Linked DNA regions of Neurospora crassa OR74A. The protein of the gene in region 1 purifies or fractionates together with the protein of each later gene. This does not show direct contact. Links are inferred from orthologs where the notes say so. Each region holds a gene or a part of one and is shown on either strand. Other genes may lie near its edges. The genes, in order: NCU03838 and NCU11012.

Evidence for each region.
Region 2: the proteins of NCU03838 (region 1) and NCU11012 purify together in Saccharomyces cerevisiae (affinity purification with mass spectrometry, with the first as the bait; 3 studies listed by BioGRID). This does not show direct contact. The link is inferred for Neurospora crassa OR74A from reciprocal best matches to the Saccharomyces cerevisiae genes SPT4 and RPO26.

What each region holds. Positions count from the first base shown.
Region 1 is NC_026505.1:2,567,972-2,577,195, forward strand, and holds NCU03838 (transcription elongation factor spt-4), read left to right. Parts: upstream 1-5,244; 5' UTR 5,245-5,587; coding exon 5,588-5,668; intron 5,669-5,745; coding exon 5,746-5,996; intron 5,997-6,086; coding exon 6,087-6,117; 3' UTR 6,118-6,437; downstream 6,438-9,224. Other genes in the region: NCU03835 (hypothetical protein), read left to right, coding at 1-44, 260-576, 669-760, 844-907; NCU03836 (O-sialoglycoprotein endopeptidase, variant), read left to right, coding at 1,580-2,644; NCU03837 (Snf1 kinase complex beta-subunit Gal83), read right to left, coding at 2,999-3,046, 3,115-3,688, 3,766-4,589; NCU03839 (APF1), read right to left, coding at 6,610-7,788.
Region 2 is NC_026503.1:2,362,891-2,372,211, forward strand, and holds NCU11012 (DNA-directed RNA polymerase I), read left to right. Parts: upstream 1-4,279; 5' UTR 4,280-4,582; coding exon 4,583-4,626; intron 4,627-4,730; coding exon 4,731-5,012; intron 5,013-5,085; coding exon 5,086-5,205; intron 5,206-5,260; coding exon 5,261-5,297; 3' UTR 5,298-5,828; downstream 5,829-9,321. Other genes in the region: NCU00037 (polyadenylation factor subunit 2), read left to right, coding at 1-1,486; NCU00038 (C2H2 transcription factor), read right to left, coding at 2,298-2,352, 2,478-3,841; NCU00039 (hypothetical protein), read right to left, coding at 5,868-7,159, 7,232-7,808. UniProt on the Saccharomyces cerevisiae protein: DNA-dependent RNA polymerases catalyze the transcription of DNA into RNA using the four ribonucleoside triphosphates as substrates.

The DNA.
Region 1 (9,224 bases):
CTGGCTGGCTGACTGGAGGCCAGCTTTGCTGACTTGGTGGCGAGGTTCGTGATTTTGAACCATGAAGCCAGCAGCCCACAACAGCATTTCCCAAAGACTTGGAAAGGCGGAAGAAGAAGCGATGTCCAAAGAAGGTGGAAGACAGAATGGAGGTGTCGAGTGAACAGCTTTCCATGGGTGGTGGGTGGTCCTGTGGTGCAGAGTTCTGGTCAGCCTAGGTTCACCCACAACGGTACCGGACATATCAAGCCCACATCAGACGGGTTGTGCGAGACAAAAAGATGGCCAAAGCAGCATTCTGAAGTCAGACGAACGAGGAAAACACACCTCAAGAGGGAATATGGGTATCTCCATCCCCATAGACTTGGGGCGGTGCTGAATTCACGGCCTCCAATCCGGCCCAGACGGCCCCGTGAGCTCGAAAGCTTGCAAGAACCGAACAAGAAGCAGCCCGGCCATGTTCTGCCGAAGAAATGGCAGGCAAAGGATGGTGAAGACAAGGAAGAAGTCGGCTGGGCTGTTGAAAGAGGCAGGTCTGGCCGTGCGGTTGGGAGGTTTGGGTTTGGCGGCAACGAGGTGAGGTGTTGGGTGATACAGGCTCGGAGGATGGAAGATGGTTGGACGGCTGCGGACTCTCGCTTGGCTGGGAGAATTGATTCTCGGTGCAGTGGGGTCCCGTGCAGAGAGCCCCAAGCCCAGGCTCGGCAGACCCCGAACTGCTCGGAGCCTTTTTGCACTTCCACAGAGCAAGTCAAATCACGTAAGCTCATCTGCACATATTTGTTGCAATGGAACTGTTGGATCAGCTCATGGCGAAAAAGCTAGAAATAATCAAACTTCTAGTGTCTTTTACACAACTCATGCATCCATGGTCACAGTTTGCGCCGTTGCGGCTATATGTGGATAGAAATCGTTGCTACTACTAGCGCACGAGCCACGCTACGTGCCTGCCTTACATAACATTGCATTGCGCATCCAAAGCAACATAAAGGTCCCACTCGACTGTGCACAAGCGGCTGCGGGGACCCACATTTCATTGAACCCCTCATCGACTCCATGGAAGGCTCTGACGAAATCCCATTGCTGATTCCCATGGCGAGGCCGTTCCCTTGTTTTGAGAAGAACAACGGGCGAGAATGGCTTTAAAGCATCGTTACAAGTAGTGAACATGTCGACCGGTTTTAGGAGACGGGATACCGGCCCGCTGGGGGAATAAGTATGTACATCCTCTTTCATCTCGATCTCGAGTTTCGTCACCTTGATCACTACGGCGCGCCTAGCCTAGGTATTCACAGACGCGACGAAATTTTCCCCACTCTAAAAAGGTGCCCCTCCATTATCACTTTCTCCATCTGACATCTGGCATTGGATGTGGCACTGACAACATCCATCCATCCATCCTATTCAGTACGCGACGCGACGCCTATCAACAACCAAAGGATATCAAGGTCCTCGATAAACATCCCCAACGAAATATCCTTGCGAGTTATCTGATACGAAGCAACCGGCTCCCGATTCACCAAGTAACCGAAACCCTCTCCCTCCCTCGCTCTATCCAACAAAGCCCCAACAGCCAACAATGCCCGACGCCAAAGGCCGCCGCATCGCTCTCGGATGCGAAGGCTCCGCCAACAAGCTCGGCATCGGCATCATTGCGCACGACCCCATCACCGGCGAAGCCCTTGTCCTGTCCAACGTGCGCGACACCTTCGTCTCTCCTCCCGGCACCGGTTTCCTTCCCAAGGACACAGCCCGACACCACCGTGCCTACTTTGTGCGTGTAGCCAAGAAGGCGCTCGCCTTGTCGGGGGTCTCCATCTCGGAAATCGACTGCATCTGCTACACCAAGGGGCCCGGGATGGGCGGGCCCCTAACGTCGGTGGCCGTGGGCGCCCGCACACTCGCGCTGCTGTGGGGTAAAGAATTGGTGGGCGTGAACCACTGTGTCGGGCATATCGAGATGGGGCGGGCGATAACGGGGGCGTCGAACCCGGTGGTGCTGTACGTGAGCGGGGGTAATACGCAGGTGATTGCGTACGCGGAGCAGCGGTACCGTATCTTTGGCGAGACGCTGGATATTGCAGTGGGTAATTGCCTGGACCGGTTCGCGCGCACGCTGGAGATCAGCAACGACCCGGCGCCCGGGTACAATATTGAGCAGCTGGCCAAGCAAGGTGGGCGAGTCTTGTTGGACTTGCCGTATGCGGTCAAGGGAATGGATTGCTCGTTCAGCGGAATCCTGGGGCGGGCAGATGACTTGGCGGCGCAGATGAAGGCGGGCGAGCCGGGCCCCGACGGCGAACCGTTTACACCCGCAGATCTGTGCTTCAGCTTGCAGGAAACGGTATTTGCCATGCTTGTCGAGATCACCGAGCGGGCTATGGCGCACGTCGGTAGCAACCAGGTTCTTATTGTTGGCGGTGTCGGTTGCAACGAGCGGCTACAGGAGATGATGGGCGCGATGGCAGCGGAGCGAGGCGGAAGTGTCTACGCCACCGACGAGCGGTTCTGCATCGACAACGGCATCATGATTGCTCATGCTGGTCTATTGGCCTACGAGACGGGCTTCCGGACGCCGCTTGATGAAAGCACATGTACACAACGCTTCAGAACCGACGAAGTCTTCGTCAAGTGGAGGGACTAATGACAAGGAAGGAAACGAAGACGAAGATGACCATTACGACGATACCCCCAAATCCCATAACCTTTACTCTATCCACGGCAGCCACTCTATATGCGCCTCTTGTTGTCCCTTAGTGCCCCCTTAATGGAGCAGGATGCCCATGGACAGTTTGCCGACAACAATTTGCGCCCGCTTCCATAAAGTGTCCTCGTCATCGCTACAGCGTCCTATAGACATTACTTGTAGACATATCTAGAATAGGTCATACTGGGCGGTTCATCATGCACCGCTATTCTACTCATGACTTGCGCTGTTCGTCTAGTAGTGGTAGCCACCAGCCAACTGTACCCAGCTCTGACTACTAGCATTCCAAACTCAGATGCCCTCTGTCGTTGTTGGCTTGTACATGATTGTCGTCACATACTGTACAGTCCGTTAGCATCAACGACTACGTGCAAAAAGATGCAGCTACGAAATACGGGGAGACGAACCTTGTTCTTGTATCTCGTCGTGGCCGACACAGCCAGAATATTATTCTTAATACTGCTAGTAGCTAGATGGTTAAGAACGGTATGGTTGGGCATGTTCAGAACGCTGTTGTCATCCTTGATCAAGGTGGCCGCGTTGAGGATGGGCTTGCCGAGGAAGCCAGGAAGCGCAGGCGGCGTTGGGAGTTTCTCGATGGCGTTGACAGCACTCAGGTAAGGTGGACTTTCCTCGGGTGCGTCGAAGTCGAGTAGATATTGCGGGATCTTGTTCTCGAACAGCTCCGCCGGAGGGACAGGTCGGTCCCTAGGTGCCTTGCTTTCCTCCGTCTCGGACGCGGAGGTTTTGGGCTCCGTAGGTTGCTGGGAATCCTTGGCGGCGCTTGCAGCAGCTGCCTGGGCAGCGGTGCGCCCCACATCATCAGGGCTGACCTCGATGTAGTTGACCAGGTTGTTGCCAAAGTCTACCGTGGTCGGCAAGTCTGGCGAGGTCTGCATTTGCCCGTCAACCAGAAAGCGAACGTGATGTGTGCCCGGCAGGATATTGATAATAGCAGCGAATACACCCGGTCGGCCCTCACTGTTGGCGAGTAGCGGTGTCAGCAAGGCCCCATCCGTATTGAGAGCGAAAGTGGCCGGGATGTAGAAAGTACTTACACCGGGTGTAATCGTGTCTTCCTGTTCCATTGGAAGATGGTGCCTGTCACGTAAACCTTCTCGCCGCCACGGAGCCATTCGAGCCTGGTGGGGACAGTCGGTCTAGTCTTGTCCACCCGTAGCTCCTCCGTGTCTTCTTCGTCCAGAGTTGAGCTGTTACTCAAGTTGGAAGAGCGTCTGGTGAGCGCGGTGAAAGTGTCGGCATCCTCGAGTGGGACCCCAATGTCGGTCGGGGCAATGATAGGCGATCCGGGTGTGTGGACCTCTTCCTCGATCGGCAGAGGTAGTCGCGGCGGCCTGGTCAGGTACGAGACATCTTGCAGACTGCTCAGCTGCATAGCCGCAGTCTCAAAGGCATCCGATCTCTCTGATAGCGGTGATCGCACCGGCGACCTAGGTGAGCACGACGAGGCGTGGCAGGGTGTGGGCACGGCTACAGGTTTCGCGGGCTCATGACTGTCTTCGGGTCTCAGCTGTCTTACTTCGACAGGTTTGGTGGGGGTGGCAGAGCTGGTAGGCACCGACGAGCCCGGCGAGCCGCTCTGAGAAGGTGGCATTCGCGAGTGCAGCGACTTGGGACGAGCGGTGGTTGAGGGCGGCTGGACGGCGGTGCCCTGGGCCTGGGTCAAGGAGGGCTCAGGAGGGGCAGCGACTCGCTGATTTGGGACCGGTATAGGGTGCTTGGTATCGCGCTTCACTGCTCTGGCAGAGTCATTTTGGATGGAAGCCAGCGACTGGTGCTGAGACTGCGATTGAGAGGAGGAGGAGGAGGATTGCGGATTCGGGGTCTTGGAGTCTCTGGAGGTGGAGGGGTTGTTCCCCATTTTCCCTAGCTCGATCGCTGGCGCTGATGACGGGATGGGGTCGCCGTGGTGGTCGGGTCGGTCGAACGGGGTCGTCACAGGTGGTTCGCTGCTACCGCGGTCTGCTGCTGTTACTGCTACACCTGTTCAACAATGCGTCCACCGGGTGCAATCAATTCATCTTCCACTCTCCGGGGTAATTGGCCGAGTTCGGATAGAAGGTGGTTTGACAGTCGAGGGGCTTTGCATGCTACGCCAGCGCTGGTCGTGGCTGTGGTTGTGTGGTTTTTGGGAATTCGAACGACGTTGTCAGGTGTCGTGTCGTAATAGAGTTGGAGCAGGCAATATCGCAGCAAACTGGAAGATGTGATGATTCGAGTCGTGTCGAATCGAGGATGCGCGAAACAAGTGGAAGAAGTGGAAGTCGAGAGAATGACGGGTAGGTAGAGAGCTCAGTTCAGTTATCAGAGTATCACTGCAGCAGTTGACTGTCCTCCCTTGGGCCAAAAAGCACAGCTGCCATCCACCTGGTTGCTCGATAAGAAGCGGGCGACCACTGGCAACTGAATGGAACTCGGATGCAACGCCCCGGACTCGGCGAACAGAGTTGAACTGTGGATGAGTGTGAGACGGCGCCCAGCCCAACTGCACGGCAGTGTCTCCACTGTCCACCTCCAGGCATCGGCCCCAGCTTCCACTTCGGCCCCCACCTTTCCCACATTCTCTCCTGCTTCTCTAGCTCCTGGACCGTGCGCCCCTTGCATGTCAACTCCTGGCCCGCTGTGAGACCTGGAGCTTGCGCTGGCGCGACGCGGCAGGCAAGAGAGGCGGCCGATCTTCTTTCCAGAGAACAACTTATCGATGTTCACATGCATTCCTCTAAAGAACATCACCCTCCTTCGTCAAGTGTCCTTTTCCAGTTATTCATTCACTCGCTCAGCTATTCGTAGACGAGTGAGTTATCGGTTTCCGCCCCCAAAGTTACCAGTAACATCGCCATCCCTACACATCTCCCAAAAATGTCGGAGAACTACGTTGCCCCCGGCCAGCAGCGCTACCTTCGTGCCTGCATGGTCTGCTCTATCGTCATGACCTATGCTGTAAGTCGAGCTGCCCTTCCTCGTTTCTAGTCACTCTATGACCGACAAGTTTCTGACCTTTTTTGTTTTTGTCATAGCGCTTCCGTGACGAAGGATGCCCCAACTGCGAAGACTTCCTCCATCTCCAGGGCTCGCCGGATCAGATCGACAGCTGCACGTCGCAAGTCTTTGAAGGAATCATCACCATTGCCAACCCGCAGAAGTCGTGGGTGGCGAAGTGGCAGAGGCTGGACGGTTATGTGAAGGGTGTATACGCGACCAAGGTGTCGGGCCAGTTGCCGGATGACGTGCGCACCACGTTGGAGGATGACGGCATTCAGTATATCCCGTAAGTTTCCTGCTTACACTCGTGTGGTCTGGCGAAGCAGGCTATGATCGTGGGGTTTTCGGGGCACAGCCAGAAACTAACTTGGAGCAGGCGCGATGGCAGTGCGACGGAAGCGGACTAGAAACTCGAAGCTGCGGTGCAAGAAAACAAGACGGAATAGGGCGGATAAGAAAGCAGGAAAGAGAACCGACAAGCAAGAAGGAAGAGGGACCGATAATAGATCGTTCACAGACAACCCAGGAGCGGAATGCGGAATGCCTGTTAAAGGGAAGGCAACAGGAGTTCAAGGCGTTAAGGCTGGTTTAAAGGGCGTGGTCTAGACAGCAGGATAGTGGCCATTTTTTGGGTTTTGCATGATCAACCCAGGGCTATAATTACACACTGCAGCGAAATACAACAATCATACAAATGAGTTTATCACTACCTAACCTATATGGAAGATTATTCATCCAGCTACGGATCCCTTTTACGAAAACCCCAATGCAATATGGTATCTTTTTTTTAAACATTTCCCATCACGCCGAAAACGCCCCTATAACATGTACCGAAATATTGCCAAACCCGGAGATAGCATAACCTTTGACCAGTTACCCACGTGAGACTCCACAGTATGTTAAAACTGGAAGCGTGGCTTCTTGTTGGGAAAGTTCCCACCCTTCTCCTCGCGAGCCCTCTTGCGCTCCAACTCCTCCTTCATTATCCTCTCGGCCTCGCTCATCTTCTTGGGCGGAGCAGCCATAACCTTCTTGGGAGCCCCAGCAAACGCATTCTTGAAGACGTTCTTCGGTTGGGGCTTCATGCCGAACTTCATAGATACCGGCTTCGTGGCGGGAGCAGCGGCAGCAGCAGGACCAGCAGGACCAGCAGTCGAGTCAACCGCGGGTTTGCTTTCCTCTGCCGTCGTCTTGGCAGTGGCCTCTTCGCCCTTTGAACTTGCTTCCACCTTTGCTTGCTCAGAGCTTACACCGTCCGTCGTCGTCTTCGTTATTGTCGAAGGTGGCGTCACGGTATCCTTCTTCTCCTCCGCAGCAGGAGGAACCGATCCGTCCCCAGCACCCGGTGTTGGCATTGCCGCCGCCGATGTCGAACCCTTCTCACCCTCACCCGACCCCGACCCGGGCTCCTCTTTCTTTGTTGTGGCCGATTTTCCAAAACTCAACTTAATCTTCTCCCCCTCCCTCCTCTTCAACTCCTTCCTCTCCTCCTCCTCCGCATCAAAGCTAACCCCCCTCGCCTCGGCATCCTTTTGCGCTCTCTTAATTTGCTCCCTCAAAGCCCTTTGCTCCCTCTCCTCATCCCCCTTATCCATCATCTCCTTCCTCCTGACCTTCTCCCTCCTCTCCATCGCCTCGGGAGAATCATCAATCCACGCCACAAACAACCCCTCCCCCTCCTTCTCCTCCACCCTACACAACCCTTCCCTGCCCAAAAACTTTGCAAACTCTGTGAGGGAATGCCACTTGGTCGCGTTGAGATGCACGTGGTCCTTGCGCGCAATCACCTCCTGGTAAAATTTATTGATGTGGATCTCCTTCTCGCCATGGCTGGTCTTCAGCTGCGCGATGAAATCCTTGAGGAACTGGTCGGAAAAGGTGTCTTGCACGCCCTTGAAGTTGGCGCCCGCCTCGAGCGCTTTGGCCGTGTGCGAGGGCGACTGGCAGTGCATCTTGTACCCGTTCTCGTCGCGGCAGGATTTCTCGCACAGTTGGCAGTACCAGCGCAGCCGGTTGAGGCCGCGGGATTTCATCTTGTTGGCCAGATATTTGGCGGAGCCGACTTCTGCTTTGGGCATCGTGAATGGGTAATTACGGACTCCGCTGCGCGCGAGTCGGGGCGGGTGGGGGAGGTGATTGGTTGTATGTGTTTTGTTTTCGGAGGGTGTCGCTCGGTACAGTACAGGACGATGCGGCGGATGACGGTTTGGAAGTTGCGTTGGGTCAAGATTAACTATGTGACGGAGATGGTGAGTGAGTAGTGTTGGATGACTTGGAGCAAAAATCGTGGTGTTTCGCTCTTCGACCACCTTGCGTTGTTGTTGGAAAGTTGATGTTCTGCAACGGGTAAAGGTTCGAGTGTAGGCCCCGATTGCCAGCCGCCACACAAATGTTACATGCCGAATGCCAAGCATTTGAAGCGATCAACCAACAACCCTAACCCAGACATGCTTCCCATTTGGTCGAGGATCACCCCTTTTCGCTTTGTTTACACAAAGGAATCTGATTCCCAACGGGGTATTTTTGATGCTACGGATGACACTGTGCCTCGGAAATTGTGTTTCGGCCGCTTACGGAGAGGTCTGCCATACAACGGACTTGGTCTGCGCTGTGATAGAGTATATGCCCGGCTTGCTCGAGGTTTACACTTTTCTGTACTCTTCGACGACGTCTTTTTTCTTTTTTCCTCTTTTTTTATTGGTTTTCTCTCGGACACTCCGGTTGACCAGGATCGCGATCCCCACTTTCACCTTTATGCAAAGGTATTTCTGGTTATCAATTGGTGCTATGCTTATCGTTCACTCTCTCGGTTACAATGACTGAGTTTCCTCGCACATTCGTACCTTCTTACGACCACGCTTCTTCATTTCTTGTAACGGATCCATCAACTGTCGACGATCTTTCAGCAGTATTTACACAGTTACAGTTATGTTGACAGCAAACTACAGCTGACATATGATGAGTATCCAAAAACAACAGCCACCCCATCAAACCGAGATTTCCCGCATTCACCCAAAAGCAAAAAGACATCAAACGCAAAAAAGCCACAAAAAAAGACACCATCGGTCGAAACGGACGCGTTTGGGTATCAAATTGACAAAAACAAAAGAAGGCAATGAGTATATACAAGAAAAACCAGAACATGATTGTACCGTAAGTGAAATGACATATTGATGTCGTATGAAGACCAAAGGCGATCGCTCTGTAACTCCAAAAACCGCCAGATAGAAGAGAAGTTGCGCTCAAACTCTCATGTTGAAAATGGCATGGTTTCTGATTCTCGGACGATGGTTATATGTCCCGTGTAATATAGAATGCCGTGGGTCCAAATAAAGCGTATTAATCGGCATGGATAACAACAAAAGGCTGATATACGTACTGCATAGTAGTATATAGGCGATGATGTCATAATGCAAGATCGGCATCCGGGATTCGAAGTTGTTCGTGCTGCTCGGTGACTGACGCATTGAGCCAGGTTTCTGGAAGGTTCAGTCTGTTGGCATATCCCTGCGAT
Region 2 (9,321 bases), on another chromosome or scaffold:
GCCAAACTTCAACAATGTCGAGAGCATTAGGGGCCATACTGATCCCATCCGCGACCTTGCCTTCAGCCCCAACGACACCAAATTTGTCACGGCTTCAGATGATCAGACACTCAAAGTCTTTGACTTTGCTGGCGGCTCAACGGACATGACTCTGACAGGGCACGGATGGGACGCAAAGAGTTGCGATTGGCATCCCAGCAGAGGCCTGATTGTCTCTGGTTCGAAAGATCATCTGGTCAAGCTGTGGGATCCAAGGACGGGTAGATGCCTGACCACGCTTCATGGGCACAAAAACACCATCACCAAAACGCTCTTCGAGAGAGTACAGGGAAACTGTTTGGCAACATCAGCTAGAGATCAGACAGCTCGCGTGTTCGACCTTCGAATGATGCGAGACATCGCCCTCCTCAGGGGCCACGAAAAGGACATATCGACATTGACGTGGCACCCAGTCCACTCCAACCTCCTAAGCACCGGCGGCTCGGACGGCTCGCTATTCCACTACCTCTTGGACGAGCCGAACACCGCGCCCGACGGCTCAGTCATGCCGATCCCGGCAGTTTACGACACCGCCGATCCTTCGTCCGCACCTGCCCAACCCATCTACCCAGCCCACAAGATCCCCTATGCCCACGACTTCGCCATCTGGTCGCTCGACTGGCACCCGCTCGGCCACATCCTCGCCTCGGGATCCAACGATCGCATCACACGTTTCTGGTCTCGCGCAAGACCTGGCGAGGCTCCCGAGTCCTTCAACGACCGGTATCACATCGGCGAGGCAGCAGCCGAAGCTCAAGGCACCTGGGATCGCCGCGGCGGCCGTCACATGCGGCAAGTCGAGGAGGAGCAGGAGCTGGAGGACGAGATGGACGGCCTGGTGGATCAAAAGATGCCCATCAAGGGGCAGCCCGGCGTTGGCGGCGGCGGAATGATGCCTGGTCTTTCCTTCCCCAGCATTCCCGGCCTTCCTCTCCAGCAGGTTCCCAGCTCTGGCCCTGGCGGCAGCGGTTTTATACCGCCACCACCCATCATCCCCGGCGTCGGCGGTGCCACCGGTGTCCCGCCTCCTCTCCCCTTCCCTATCCCCGGCATGCCCGGTCTGCCTGCCGGTGTCGTCCCGCCGCCCCTTCCGGGTTTAGATCTGAAGAACCCGCCCGACTTTAGCGCGCTCGCTGAAATGATGAAGAAGGCCGGTTATCAACCGCCGCCGCCGCCAGGCTCGGCTGGCGCACCGATGCCCCCTCCCGGCATCCTGCCCCCTGGCCTAATCCCCCCGCCGGGCGCGGCGGGCTTCCCTATGCCCCCTCCTGGGTTTGCGCCTCCGCCGCTGATTCCTGGTGCTGGTGGTCCGCCGGGAGGAGCCACTCACCCCGATGGTGGGAATGATCAGTATGATTCGTCAGGGAGGAGACGCGCGCCGTTGCCTAGTCAGGAGGAGAGTCTTAGGATGGAGCAGAGCAAGGGCAATTATACGCGCGTGAGATAGGATAGAGATTGTGGAGGAGACAAATTTTGCTTTTGATATATTTGCTTTTGTTAGCCATGCTGCACAAAGTCAATGGGGGTGGTGCTTGATCACATAATGCTGAGAACTTTTCTTCCGGGCAGTGTATGTGTCGGGAAATCAAGTGTGGCGGTAGTCCTGGAATGACACATGAAGAAGGAAATCATAGGGTGAGAGAAACATCCAAAGGGACAAGAAAAGAATATTACGATAAGACTACTATATGTTCGTGAATGATAGCGAACAAGGGAGTCTTGCTGAGAGCACGGTGAGTTAACCACAACCGGTATTATATGTCTACTCCGTCCAAACGCCGTAACCGTACAAGTAAGCCATCTCCATTCCTCCACGCGGTCTACATACTGTCAAAGCCACATAACAAAAGGGTATCAATATTTCCGTGAACCTTCCCATCTTTTTTCCGTTTTGTTTTCAGCAATGCAACATCATACAGTCGACAATTCCCCCATTGTGAACCATGAACCCGTATTACTGCATCATCTATGCTCTAGCAAACTGCGGGTCCGAACCCTCACCATCTTGGCCCATCAACAGCTGCATGTCGGCAGCCCAGTCTTCAAAGACAGGCGACTGGTGTTGCAGTGAGAACGGATCTCCATGATCACTAAGCCAGAAAGGCGCAGCGCCGAGATTTCCGCCATCGCTAACTGGAGCATTCGTGAATTGCTCCATTTGAGGGGGAGGGGTAGCGCCAGCTGAGGTGAATGCGGAGTGGACATCTCCTTGCTGATGCTGGGGTTCTAGACTAGGATCGATGACATATCCTAAGTCGTCAACGCTCAAGTTGGCAGCACTCGGAAATGGTACCATAGCTGCCTGTTCCTCGCCTGTATGCAATTGAGGTAGGAGCAGCAACTGTTGCTCCTCTTCTTTGATACCATTGTTGCCATGGTCATTTTGGATATGTCTATCCAGATCAGCATGACGGATGAAGCGAGCGGTGCATCCGTACGCAGGGCAAGCAAGGTCACGAGTGTCCAGCAAAGCCTGTTGAGCTTGCTGAGCCTGGGCGACCATGGAAGGGACGGGATACAGCTTGGGTGGACGCTTCTTCCCAAGATGAACATGAAGAACATGCTCCTCCAGCTTGACCCTGGTGGTAAATCCCTGGCCACAACCCTCTTCCGCGAAGTTCCAGTCCGCAATCTCCGAAACCTTGGCATCGTAAGTATCGGTCTGTCCGCAGACGAAACGATGGCCTTCATGGGCAGACTTGATGTGCGTGTTGAGATTGGAGACACGCGTGAACTTTTTGTCACAGCCCTCCCACGTGCAAGCAATCGTCTTTCGATCTTCGACTGTCTTGGCTGAGTGGTAGAGCTCAACGTGACGCATCATGTTGCTTTGTGTACCGCATCTGACACCGCAGAAGGCGCAGTTGTTGTGCTCCTTCTTCATATGGGCTTGAAGCAGCAGCATCGTGGTAAATCCAACACGGCGACCTCCACTGTCATCACCCTCTCCTTCAGCGTTGCATTCGTCGCACCAAAACTTCAGGTCACCGTGCTCGCGCTCTACGTGCCTTCGCAAGGCACTTGCAGTGTCGAAGCCGGCGTCACACCCGTCGTTACCGCATGGATATGCCGACTTGCCTAGATGAACGGTTCGGATGTGTCTCTGGAGCGTTTGGTGCTTGCGGAAGCTCTGGACACAGTCCCCATAGCCGCGGCAGCGGTAGCGATCGGCGCCCTCGTGAACCAGAGCATGGCGGCGAAGTCGTGTATTAGTGACAAAGGACTTTCCGCAACCGGGCTCGGGGCATGTGTACTTTCGATCGTTGGTATGAGATCCCTTGATGTGCTGGGAGAGGTGCTTCTCTTCGAGGTAGTCTTTGTCGCAGTCATCGTAGGGGCACTTGAACGGGCGATCGTTTGTGTGAGATCGGAGGTGGGCAGCCAGACGAGCAGGGCGGTTGAAGGTCTTGGTGCAACCGGCGAATGTGCACCTGATGGTCTTGAGATCGGAGGGGAAGCGGCGTGAAGCACGAGTCGTGGTAGTGTTGATACTAGTTGCTGCTACCGTAGTCGTCGGATCGGCGTGGGTAAGGGAGGTGTTGGCAACCGAGGCAACAGAGGCCGAGTCAGGGTCGAGTTCGAGGCTGTCGTTGCCGTTGCCATCAGAAGCTGCCGCCTCTGCGCCAGCAGGTGGCGATCGCGATTGCGAGGGTAGGGCCGGTGCCTCGAGCTGCTCTACTTGTGAGAGTTCCTCCTCCTGCTGCTGCTGGACCCAATCAGTAGCTCTTTTCTTGGATTGGACTTGAGCATGGTCGGGGCCGTCATGGCCATCAAGGCGCTCGTCGTCCTGTTTCCGCTTCATTTTGAGGCCTGGAGTAGCAGCACTGGTCGCCGTGGCCTGCTACCCTGGACTTGGTTGGAGCTTCGACATTGGAGAGAGGGAGCTCCACGCTTTTTGGGAAATTCGCTTGGATGGATTTTTTTTTTGGAGGTTCACATTTGTGACGGAACCTTTGCATTGCACCTGCCGATTGGACTTTTCGTCCGGGGTGGGTGTCCCTGCCGCTTCAAAAAGTTTATCTGACGTTTTCCGGTTCCAGCACCGGCAGGCAATTTTACGAGCGAGTGAAATTCGGGGGACCTGGAGGAAGGGAACCCATGAAGAAGCTGATGGCCCATCCATTGGCCCCACCCCTGTGACCCACTTCTCTGGTGTCACGTGCATTGGGCATTCTTAGCCTATTTAAGTTAGCTAGGTGGGGGCTTCTCAGATCCCTCCCCTCTTCTACTCTTTAGACTACTTTGGACGAATGAGACATCATCACTTCTTACCCCCCATGTCTCTTTAAGGTTTTATGTCTTGGCACGGCTCAGCCTTGCATAAAGTAGCGGCCCCACTCGAATTTTCTGTCGTCCTTTTGTCAGCCCTTCGCCCTTCCCTCACCACCTTGCGCATCCACGGTCGGCCAAACACGTCCAGTCTTCCACATCCACGCGTTTTGGGCAATACCATTTTGTCCACATACCTACCTCTACTTGTGCAGCTGCAGCCCATATCTTATTATCCTTACCATCAATCAACTCCTAAACAAACCCACCAAAAATGTCCGACTACGGTGACCACGGTGACGATGATCGCGAGCCTATGTAGGTTTCCAACGCCACCTACCCACCTAGTCCTTGGCATCAACCTCTACACATGATACCGCAACTCATGCGTAACGCAAGAGATGCTAACACGTAGCCGCCAGCGACGAGCCCGCCTTCGATGAGGACCCGGATGAGTACTACGAGCCCGAACCCGAGCCCGCGGACGACGACGTAGCGGGCAGACCCGGCGACGAAGTCGACGAGGCCGAAAACGATAACAACATAGTCACTTCGGGTGACCCTAACGCGGCCGCCAACGCTGGCAAGGGCAACGAGAAATCCCACAAGGACAAGAAGATTCCCAACGACCAGCGTTCCACGACACCTTACATGACCAAGTACGAGAAAGCTCGTATCCTCGGCACACGTGCTCTGCAAATCAGGTGGGTTTCCTCATCGGTGGCGCTTGGACGACTGTAGGGACGGATTTGGGCTGACAAGGAACCACCTTTGTAGCATGAACGCGCCAGTGCTGGTTGATCTCGAGGGTGAGACGGATCCTCTTCAAATCGCCATCAAGGAGCTGCGCGAGAAGAAGATTCCTCTGATTGTCCGTCGTTACATGCCTGATGGATAGTAAGTTGTCCTTTTCCCGGCACCTAGCCGAATACCCGCTAACATCCCTACGTAGCTACGAGGACTGGACCTGCGAGGAGCTCCTGCAGTAAACGGAAACCTACAAGACCCGTCAGGGGTAATAGGGGCGACCCAGTCTTTGGTCAGAAAATACACAAAATTGCATTAGCGAGGGCGTTCAGGTTGAAGTTTTATACATCATATTTGATCATTTTGGGACGGTTGGACTCGATCCAAAGGGCAACAACAAGAGCACAATGTGCTCCTCGAGTTGAATAAAGGGCCCATTCAAAAATTCACGTGCGTCTGATCAGTCATTGTCCTGTACGTTCGTGCTATTGTTCAACAGGCCTGGGCATATGAGGTATCAAGAGCCTTGTTTACGCCGCACTTTTCATGCTGATATCTGCTTAGATTTCCTGTCGCTATTTGATAGCGAATATTCAGATCAATTAGTATGTCAATTATACAGAAAAGGAATAGAGTATAACACTCATACAAAATTACCTACTTGAGAATCGAAGAACAGCGTTCGTGTCAAGCTTACCGCCATCCCTATCACCACGCATGTCCAGCAACATCCTTATGAACACCAGTTCTCCCAAGCTTCCCTTCCTTTCCTTCTGCGTCCCAGCACCACACACGGCTCAGCAGTCAGCACCTCACCAAGGCCCCGTCCCCCAAACCTTACACTTCGCTCCCGCATTCTTCCCCCAATTCGCCAACGTACAATCCGCATACTGCTCCTTACACTTCAGCACCGCCCCCGCGTACGAGGTCGAATCATCCTTGCCGTACTTTCCTTCCTTGCACCCCTTGGCGTACACATCCACACAATCATCGTACTGCTCCTGGCACGCATCCAGACAGGCTGTCGAGAACGACGAGCGAGCGTATGACTTGCACTTGCTCGAGTCCGAGTCCGTGTACAGCTTGAAGGGGTGACCGGACGAGAAAGAGGAGAGAAGGTCGTTGCAGGTTACTACGGGGAGAGGGATCCCGCCTACGGGGGGTTTGTTGCTTTTGGGGGGGTTGCAGAGGGAGGTGGATGTTGGGATTGGGCATTTGGTGCCGGTGGTGGTGGTGCTGGTTGTGAATGTGGCCGCTTTGGTGGACGTTGGAACGGAAGTAGATGTCGGCTTGCCAGTGCTAACAGGGAGACAAGGAACCGTAATCACCGTCGTTGTCGGAACACCAGGTCCGGTAAGGGAGGGCGACGAAGGCGGCTTGTGATTCCAGAAATCCTTCTTGGAGCAGATGCCCCCCGGTTTGCTTGATCCCTTGCAGTAGGTGCTCAGGGCCGAGCACCACTCGGCAAAACCGAAGCAGTCGAGCGCCCCCGGCCATCCGGCTTGCTTGAAACAGGCGGATACTTGGAGGAAGCAGTTGGCGTGGCTGGGGAAGCAGGATTGGGGGGAGTCCCAGTCCGGCAAAGGGGAGGAACACCATTTGCCGCACTTGTACTCGCAGGTGGGCGGGAGAGTGACTGTTTCTTTGCAGATGGAGGAGGAGGAGGTGGTGGTGGTGGTGGTGGACGTGGTTGTTAAGGTAGTGGTAGGGGGTGGCGAAGTGGTGGTGGCTAGGGTGGTGGCTAGGGTGGTGGAAGTGATGGAAGTGGTGGAAGTGGTGGTGGTTGAGCTGAGGACATAAGAAGTAGTAGTCGAAGAGGGTACGTCAGAAGTCGTCGCCGTCGAGCTGGTTATGTCGGAGGTAGATTGCGAAGAAGCAACTGGAGTTGTTGATGAGGATGCTGTGACGGAAGAGCTGCTACTACTTTCTGGGGGAGGCACGTAACCACAAGGTTCGAGTGACTGAAGCTCGTTGGCGACGTAGAGGTTGAGACGAGCACGTCCGCCGCAAATCTGCGTGGAGTTTCCGTTGCAAGGGATATCGCACTCGCTATCAGGGGCGGAGAAGGTTCCGTTGCCTATGACAACACCGCACCAACACTCGCCTAGGGGTGGGTTAGGAAGTCAGCATCCAGTGCTCTCATTCACACCACATCAAGTAACAAGTTGCTACTTACCGCCAAACTCAGTCCCGGCAAACGGATACCCCCCATCCCGACAAGCTTGCAAGCACTTCTCCGTCGTCAAGGTAGACCCTTCAAGCTGATCCTGGGGATAAGCCAACGCCCTTCCGTACTCGGAATCATCAGTCCAACATCCCAAATGGTCATAATCCGCAACCGTGACCTCATCAACCGGCAAGAAAGTGGGATCCTGGTAGACGGATATGATATCAGTGCCTCCACAGACCTGCGAGGAGTTGCCGGTGCAAGGGTAGTTGCATTGCTCCTCGTCAATCTGCTGGCCGCTGACGGTGTTGCCGCAGTAGCACACGCCGTAGTACTCTAGACCTGCGTAACGAAAGCCATTACCCTTGCAGACAGAGACGCATTTCTCGATGGTCATGTCCTGCTGGTTGAGCTGGCTGCGCAGGCTGAGGGCGTGAGGGTTGCCGGTGTCGGCGTAGCAGCCGGAGTAGATGAAAGGCTGGAAGGGGTCAAGGCAGGGAGGGAGTTCGATGGTTGTTGCACGGACACCAACGTGGACTAGGGCGATGGCTGCTAGCGCTGCAGCTCGAAGGGTGAGCGAAGCCATGGTGGTGACGATTTGAATACCGTGAGAATCCCTTGGGATGGTTGGAGTGCTGCCGGGGGAAGAAGTTCAGATGCTGAGCAGCAAGAAGCAGGTTGTCTTATATGAGAACCATGGCACTGAAGCGGTCATGGTGCGAAGAAGTCAATGCGGTATACATTCTACAAATTGCTCAGAAGCAGATGGTGTATTGAGCTCACTGACGTCCAGTCTGGAATAAACACAACGACGCCACATCACGCTGGACATCCGGTCACCGAAGCCTTTCGGACCCAAATATCGAAAGAACAGTGATATCCAATTTCTTGCTCTCGGCAAAACCCTACTACATACTTTTCCTGTCAAGGTACCTACCTGCAGCTTTAGTGGTATGGGGACTTGGATGATGGGCCATCAAACAATTGAGTACCCCATCACAATATATGAGGGTAGCAAGCTGAAGAGAAGAGTCGAAGGGACTGGTGCTCACTGAGTTTTCAACGTGTAGGAGGGAGACTTCAACGCCATGGCGTTGTAGTAAGACAATGGCTAAGTGACTAGGCTGAGGAAACAGGTCCGAGGTTGCTGGAAATGAAGCGTTGTTCCGATATATGTATAATGAAGTCCTCGTGTTGAACTCAGTGTAAGCCCATGGCGTAGGCCATCACACTGTCACCTCACAGGGGGGCGATGTTTAATTGTCGTGGATTCCGGCACGTAATCTCAATGTGTAAATTGTTCCCTTTTCTGCATTTGGGGCCCTAGATGTCATTCATGGTCCTTTCAGGTAATAATCACCTTCCGGCTTCACTTCAGCTGAGAGCGGGAGCAGGGGAAGACGGGACGGGACGTGATCTGATCTGATCCGATCCGATGCTTTCCGGCTCTCTGTTGTAGAGGTAGGATTATTGAAGACTTGCAAGTTTCTATTGAGAGGTCTAGGTCATACTTCTACAAATTCAATGTGATTTTGTACAAAAGGAGAAAGTCATGATGTTATTGTAGGGGAGCTGAGGAGGAGGAGCTGCAATAACTGATAAGGGTTTTGGATGAACGTCCTGCCCCTATATCTTGCTGTCATAGGAAACGGGTACCTGCATGCGGTCCATCTACAATACGAAGTTGGTTTGTTTGGTCAGTCCAGTTCGATGATGGGTTGAAGAGGGAAGTTTTGAAGCTCTTATTGCCCCCCCCCTCCCTCCCCTTTCCCCCACGAGAAAAATCATCCTCCGTTCAAAGCAACATAGGACAATGACAAGGGTTCGTAGCGCCACAGAAGCCTTCATTGTATATCCTTTATACCTCTCGCCGTCTCCTTCAACGCCTTTGAGGCTAGATGATATCAGTCTCACGGCGTTACGCGATTCTTACTTTTCAACTTCCTTAATTGCCATCTTCAACTTCGCATTCTCATCTTTATTTCTGTATGGATATTGAGTTGCAGCTGTTAATTTAATCCAGGGGCCATCAACGGCTACAACCTTTAAGAAGTACTACGCAATGACCATTGGAATAAAGGAGTAAGAAGCCAACCATA